2 linked regions of the Mus musculus genome follow. The main gene of each other region encodes a partner of the protein of the gene in region 2 in a complex. Links are inferred from orthologs where the notes say so. Each region holds a gene or a part of one and is shown on either strand. Other genes may lie near its edges. The genes, in order: Prdx1 and Sirt5.

Evidence for each region.
Region 1: the proteins of Sirt5 (region 2) and Prdx1 are in contact, whole or in part, in a crystal structure (PDB 8Z54), measured with the Homo sapiens proteins. The link is inferred for Mus musculus from reciprocal best matches to the Homo sapiens genes SIRT5 and PRDX1. Residues at the interface, in NP_001363727.1 of Homo sapiens: Ala86, Tyr102, Arg105, Gln140, Ile142, His158, Val220, Val221, Trp222, Phe223, Gly224, Glu225, Asn226, Leu227, Leu232, Val253, Val254, Tyr255, Pro256; in NP_001189360.1 of Homo sapiens: Phe195, Ser196, Lys197, Gln198.

The regions. Positions count from the first base shown.
Region 1 is NC_000070.6:116,688,588-116,692,404, forward strand, and holds part of Prdx1 (peroxiredoxin-1), read left to right. Parts: intron 1-3,188; coding exon 3,189-3,342; intron 3,343-3,817. UniProt on the Homo sapiens protein: Thiol-specific peroxidase that catalyzes the reduction of hydrogen peroxide and organic hydroperoxides to water and alcohols, respectively.
Region 2 is NC_000079.6:43,378,941-43,382,757, reverse strand, and holds part of Sirt5 (NAD-dependent protein deacylase sirtuin-5, mitochondrial), read right to left. Parts: intron 3,086-3,817; coding exon 2,998-3,085; intron 2,259-2,997; coding exon 2,205-2,258; intron 1-2,204. UniProt on the Homo sapiens protein: NAD-dependent lysine demalonylase, desuccinylase and deglutarylase that specifically removes malonyl, succinyl and glutaryl groups on target proteins.

The sequences.
Region 1 (3,817 bases), on a different chromosome or scaffold from region 2:
TACATTTGGTCTTACAAATCAAGTCTTTGGAGCTGTGGCTTTGCTTTTGCTCAAAGGGAAGACTTGACACTCCAATTACCTTTTGTTTTTACCATAGTTTCATGCAGATACTTGGTAGGTTCTGTTGATGGTTTACCTTCTCTCCTTTTAAAAAATTTAGCTCCTAGCTAGGTGTAGTGAATGGAGTGGTGTAGCAGGTGGATTTCGGGTCAGCTAAAGCTGCATGGTGGGACCCTGTCTGGAAAAAAGAAAAAGAAAAAAGCAAAACAATTCGAGGCCAGCCTGGTCTACAGAGTGAGTTCCAGGGCTATACAGAGGAACCCTGTCTCAGGAAACCGGAAAAAAAAAAAAAAAGGCAAAACAAATCTATCAATTATATCTGATCATTTCTGTTTTTGTTTTGTTTTTTGAGGCAAGGTTTCTTTCTCTATGTAATCTTGACTGTCCTGGAACTTGGTCTGCTTGTGTGCATAGGTGTTGGAACTCCTGAGACTGTACTTACAGATGGTTGTAGATGTTTAGATTTTAACCAGAGTTCTTGGCAAGAGCAGCAATATACCTGTAAATGCTGAGGTATCTCTCTAGTCTGCATTCTTTCTCCCTTGCCTTGCCATCTCAGGGTAATTAGGTCTTTTGAGACCATTGCGACTATAGATTTCTTAGGTACAAGCTGCAAACTCTGGTTTTAAATGTACCTTCTTTAGTGGTATATGAGTTTCTGGAGATAGCTTTTGAGTAAAATATTCAGTTAGATTTCCTGACATCACACTTTGTAGTTGGGATGAGAACAGATGCTGTGGGTTGTATGGAGAAGATCTCACTGGCAAACAGTTTAAATAGTACCTACCTCTTGGGAGGTAGAGGTGACCCTGGCACATGGTCTTGGGAGGAGTGCTTGCTCTCTGCCCTGTAGGGCTTGGTCTGCTGAGGCTTCAAAGTGCTTATTAAGCAAAGCCACAGAGAGATTGCTTAGATGAGTCAAAGACTGCTTGTTTTGACTTTCAGTCATAGTTACCACCTGAAAATAAGTAGGTATTTGAAAACGTTCCAGTAAGTAGTTTAGCCGTTAGGCATGGTGAGAGGCTTCATAGCCTTGAAGATTTGCTTTGGTAATCTCAGTTACTAAAGTAAAATTGGAGCTAGAGGTCCTGTTACCTACCGGTACTTAGCGTTCTTTTGGTTGCAACATTTTTCTTGTCATGTCCTGTTGGACTTGTTAGGAACACAATTGTGATTTATGACATTAAACATAACCCATGAAGCCTGGAAACATTGTTCATTAGGTGAAAGTTTGCTGCACAAGCTTGAGGGGCTTCAAGTTATCTAATCCATGGGACCTACATAAAAAATAGGGTTAATTAGTTGAATTCTATAATATCACTAGTCCTATTCAAGATAGATTCAGACAACTAGTCTGTTAATAACACATCTTAACAGCAGAATCAAGAAACCCTGAATATAACAAGATGGAAGGGGAGAAAATTACTCAGGAGATCACTTAATTATTTCTTGCATCATTGTATAAAGGGTCTGACTTGACTCTTTGTCTTTGTTGTTGGTTTTTGTTTTTGTTTTTGTTTTTTTTTTAGACAGGATTTCTCTGTGTAGCCCTGGCTGTCCTGGAACTCACTCTGTAGACCAGGCTGGCTTTGAACTTAGAAATCCGCCTGCCTCTGCCTCCCAAGTGCTGGGATTAAAAATGTGTGCCAGTACTGCCCGGCTACTTTTTTTTCCCTAAGAGAGAGAGAGTGTGTGTGAGTGTGTGTGAGTGTGTGTGTGTGTGTGTGTGTGTGTGTGTAAATAATGTGTGGGTGTTTTGTCTGCATTACCCATGCATGTCTGTCTGGTGCTGGAAGAAGCCAGAAAAGTGTGTTGGACACTCTGGGTTGAAATTATAGGCAATTGTGAACCATCATGTGGATGCTGGAAATGAAATTTGGGGGTTCTAGAAGAGTAGCCAGATCTTAAAACTGCTGGATGGGGATGGTGAGATGGCTCAACGGGTAAAAGCACCGACTGCTCTTCTGAAGGTCATGATTCAAATCCCAGCAACCATATGGTGGTTCACAACCACCCGTAACAAGATCTGACGCCCTCTTCTGGTGTGTCGGAAGACAGCCACTGTGTATTTACATATAATAAATAAATAAATAAATAAATCTTAAAAAAAAACAAACTGCTGGATGACCTAAGTCTTGATTCTCCTGTTCCCTACCTCCCAAGTCATGGGATTATGATGTTGAGTTTCTATCCCCAACTTTTTTGTTTTATTCGGTTTTTTGAGACAGGGTTTCTCTGTGGCTTTGATTGTTCTGGAACTTGCTCTATAGACCAGGATGACCTTGTACTCAGAGGTTCATCTGCTAGGCATATGTTGCTACCATTCAGAAGTTTTGTTTTTGAGATGGGGTCTCCTTGGAATTTATTAAATAGCCTAGGCTGGTCTTGAACTTGTGATTTTCCTGCTTCTGCCTCCTGAATGCTGGATTTTGGAATGCTGAATTACAGGCAGTGTTTGCTACCCACATCCAGGCTTTTTGCGTGGGTGTGGGTGTGTTTTTGAGGTGGGGGCATTGTTAGAGACTTTCACTATGCATCCTGAAGCTGGCTTGGAGCTCAGTCTTCCTGCTACTGGATCTCACCCTGACTTACCTTTACTTTCTGAGTGTACCAGCACACTTGATGTTCTTTGATGTTCTGGGTTCAGTTTGTAGATCATTTACTAGATGAATTGCATTCTTGCCCCCCTTTTTTTTCAGTGTGAAAAGAACTTGGTGTGTATGCTAATATTAACCTCTCAGAAGATCAAAATTGACTGAATAGTGTTTATTCTATAGTTAGCAAACCAAAGAAGAAACAGTCATTTTAATTTAGGCTTTCTTGGTACAAAGGTTATAAAAGTAGCTGCTAAGAGCTGTCTTTATTAACTATGCTAACATTGATTACCGTGTTGGTGATTAAAATCTTCTACAGGAAAATGTCTGCAAAAGAATCTTTTGGAAATTTCTTGTTTTCATTCAGACAGGGTTTCTAAACCTGGCTGGCCTGGTTCTTACTCTGCGTGGTTCAGGTTGACCTCAACTTACAGCAACTGTCCTGAATGCTGGGACTTTAGGCATGTTATCAGTGCCCCTAGATCAGAAACTCAGCTTCAAAGCTAACTTCTTGATTGCTTTTTCCCCCCACAGGAAAATATGTTGTGTTCTTCTTTTACCCTCTTGACTTTACTTTTGTGTGTCCCACGGAGATCATTGCTTTCAGTGATAGAGCCGATGAATTTAAGAAACTCAACTGCCAAGTGATTGGCGCTTCTGTGGATTCTCACTTCTGTCATCTGGCATGGTAAGTTTTTGGTCTATGTGGTACGTGAAATTTTTTGTTATTTATTTAAGTATATGAGTACTATAGCTGTACAGATGGTTGTGAGTCTTCATGTGGTTGTTGGGAATTGAATTTTAAGACCTCTGCTTGCTCTGGTCAACCCAGCTTGCTCCAGTCAGCCCCGCTCACATCAGCCAGCCCCACTCTCAGTCCATCCAGCCCAAAGACTTATTATACATTAAGTACACAGTAGCTGTCTTCAGATGTGCCAGAAGAGGGCTTCAGATCTCATTATGGGTGGTTGTGAGCCATGTGGTTGCTGGGATTTGAACTCAGAACCTTTGGAAGAGAAGTCAATGCTCTTAACCACTGAGCTATCTCACCCGCCCATTTTTTTGTTTTTAGTCAGGGTAATTTTTAACTCAAGCTGGCTTTTAGCCTCATGAATACCTTGTACCACCAGCTTCATGAGTAGGTAGGATTAAAGGTATACCAC
Region 2 (3,817 bases):
GAGTGGTCTACAGCCATGTGCTCCATGCCGAAATCCTCTCTCCTCCACCTTGCTCACTGGAACCTGGGCTTTGCATGTGGTCAATGATTTCTACCAACTGGCCAACTCCCTAAATTCCTTTTAATTTTTGGCTTTCAGGCTGACTGGCTAAATTGCCCCAGCTGACCTTGAATACACTTGTGGGCCAGGTCACGCATGAACTTGTGATCCTCCTGCCTCAACCTTTGAAATAGCAGGGATTACAAGCCTGGGCCAAAAGGCTAGCTTTAAAAAAAAAATCTGACTTCTTGGCCAGATGTGGTAGTGGCGCACATCTTTAACCCCAGCCCTCAGGAGGCAGAGGCAGGTAGATCTCTGAGTTCAAGACTGAGACCAGCATGGTCTACAGAGTGAGTTTCAGAACAGCCAGGGATACAAAGGGAAACCCTGTCTTGAACCTGCTCCCCAAGAAAGAAAGAAAGAAAGAAAGAAAGAAAGAAAGAAAGAAAGAAAGAAAGAAAGAAAGAAAGAGAGAGAGAAAGAGGAAAGGAAAGGAAAGGAAAGGAAAGGAAAGGAAAGGAAAGGAAAGGAAAGGAAGAAGAAAGAAAGAAAAGGAAGGAAGGAAGGAAGGAAGGAAGGAAGGAAGGAAGGAAGGGAGGGAGGGAGGGAGGGAGAGATACAGGGTCTGGGTGTCCTGGAACTCACAGAGGTCTGGTTTGCCTTGTTTTGTTATGCGCACATGCTCTGGCCTGCGTGTGTGTGTGTGTGTGTGTGTGTGTGTGTGTGTGTGTGTGTGTATGAGTAGGTAGAGGTCAGAGATGAACTAGGGCATCTGCCCCTATTGCCCTCCGTATTATCTGCTGAGGTAGAGTCTCTCATTGAACATGGAGGTTGCTGTTTTGGCTAGACTGGCTGTCTAGCAAGCCCCAAGGATGTCTGTCAGCCCTGGGGTTTTAGGTACAGTGGCAAGGCCTAGCTCTTCTGGGAGTCTTGAGAAGCCACACTGGGGTTCTCTTGTTTGCCTAGTGAGCCCTTTAGCACTGATCTTCTTCCAGGCCCCGAGGAACTAACTCCCTTTGGAAGCACTGTTTCAGTGCCTGGTTTTAAAAAAACCGACATTTTAAAAATCAAATGTACTTTATAACAATACGAAAGTATATTTCAATTATTTTTAGATTTATTTACTTTATGTGTATGAATATTCTGAATGCATTTAAGTATGTGCACCAAGAAGATGCAGTGCCCTCAAGGCCAGGAGAGAGCCTCAGATCCCCTGGAAATGGAGTTACAGGCAGTTGGGAATGATCAGGTGGGTGCTAGGAATTGAACCCAGGTCCTCTGGATCGGCAGCCAGTGCTCTTAACCACTGACCCATCTCTCCAGCCCCAATTTTTTTTAGTTCTGTCATTTCACCTTTGCAAGACCTTTGCCACCTCCTCAGTCTTGGCCTGGGAGACACGCAGAGGAAGAGGACGAGGGCTACTTACTAATTATACTATAAATGCTCTCTAATGGTAATTAGAATGTGATTCCGGTGCACAGATCACCTTCTGTCACGTCCCTGCTTCAGAAACTTCCCAGACCCCAAGGGATCTGTCAAGACACAGAGAGATCAAAGTCAGGCAGTTTCTGTGTAGCTGCTTGAACACCGGGGGCAGAAAGATCACTTGAGCCTAGGAGCTTGAGGCTAGCTTGGGCAACATAGTAAACCTGGCTCTCTAAAAAGGACTGGAAGATGCTTCATCTTTTGTCCTTTCAACCCTAGACTGCGAGGTCAGGGACCATTGCTACATCGGTGCACTTAAAAGGCATCTCCCTAAACCGGAAAAAAAAAGTTAAGATTTTGATTTTTATACTTTTTTTTTTTTTTTTACTTTATATACAATGGTACTCTGCCTGCACGTATGTCTGTATGAGGGTGTCAGATCCCTCCAAACTGGAATTGTGGGCAGTTGTAAACTGCCCTGGGAGTGCTGGGAATTGAACATTTGGAAGAGCAGCTAATGTTCCTAACCACTGAGCCATCTCTCCTGCCCTCCAATCTTGAACACCAGATAGACATCAGTTTTGTTTTGTTTTTTTGTTTTGTTTTGTTTTTTTTTGTTGCAAACCACATGAGGCTTTATTCGGGAAAGCCAGAGCTCTGGGGACGACTCATATCCCACGTTTGTTTTGTTTTGTTTTGTTTTGTTTTGTTTTGTTTTGTTTTGTTTTGTTTTACCTACCGGGGAAGTTTGTCGACTGGGATTCTGGCGTCTTGAGTCTCTGGCTCTGGGGCCCTGGAGCAAATAGCATTAAAGAGAATGAATACTGATGGTAAAGTCAAGAAACAGAGGAAGAAGGTGACGTGGCCCTTTGTGCATTTGCCTGGTGGCGCATGGTACAAAGCTTGCTCATGTGTGCTAACTTAGTAGGGTTAACCCGCAATACTGACTTCAACAGGAAGCTGTGTCAGGGAGTCTGAGTGGGATAATTCTGATACTTCTCCAATGACACCATGTTAGGATTTTGCTTCTATACATTTATACTGCTCTGAAACGGTCCAGAAGATATTTTTTTTTCCAGTAGTTTATGTTGGCTCCAAATTTTCCTAATTGTAAACAATAATACACATCCATCATGAAAATGTTAGGGAAATCCCTATGATCTGAAGGAGAAATAAAAATGACTCATAATGTCCCCGTTCCTGAAGGTCACAGTTAACCCTTTGCTGTGTGTTTCTTGTGGTCTTTTCACTAATATACAGATATGTGGAGACAGGATGTGAACTTGTGTAAATAAAACTTTGGAATCACACCACAGCAAAGAACTCTGGCACCTTACAGTTATGAGTCAAGTTTTCCTTTCATCAAATATCTGTACCGCATCTAGTCTTGCACTTTAGATATAGCCACTGGAAAAAAAACAAAAAAAAGGAAGAAAAATATCCACTGGAATCTTCAGTGAACTTTCAATGTCCTTATAGTTATGTTCAGTTAGAGGAGAGATAGCGTTTATTCTGCAGTATGCTATACTTACCCTTTTCCTGCTAAAGCTGGGCAGATCGGACTCCTATAGTTCTCGGCAACAGTGCCACACGAGGTACACCGAGTTTTAAATAAGGTTCCTGAAAAAAAAGATAAGTGACAAGCAAGTTCAGCACTCAGTATTAAAGTCTCCCTGTCTGAGAGGCCAGACAATACTTAGTCATCCTACGTGCATTTTTATGGTTAGGTCCACCCTAGGAATCATGGGAAATATAAAAACACACTGTCTTAGTCACTGTCCTATGGCTGTCAAGAGACCAAGGCAACCCCCAGAATAGAAAGAATTTAATTGTGGGCTTATTTATAGTTTCAGAGGGCTATTCTATTATCGTCACGGTGGCGGCAAAGTGGGGCACAATGGGAACATGGTGGGGACATGATGGGGGCATGGTGGGGGCACAGTGGGAGCATGGTGGGGGCATGGTGGGAACACGGTGGGGGCATAGCGGGAACATGGAAGCACTCATGACATTGGAACTGTAACAGCTCCGCAGGAAGAGAGAGCAACACTGGCCTAATCTCAAAACCCACCCCTAGTAATACACTTCCTCCGACAAGGACACACCTCCTAATTCTCCTCAAATACTGCCAATCCTTGATGACTAAGAGTTCAAATATATGGGCCTCTGGGGGCCATTTTTATTCAGACCACCGCACATGTACAACCGTTTAACCAACCAAAACCAGATGCTTTCAAGGTCATCACGACTTAGAGAAGATATGGCTATGACTGCATGCATGGCTAACCTCATGCAGCTGACTCTGGAATGATGTCCAGGCGTAGCTGGAGTGGTCCAGAGAGAAGCAACTGC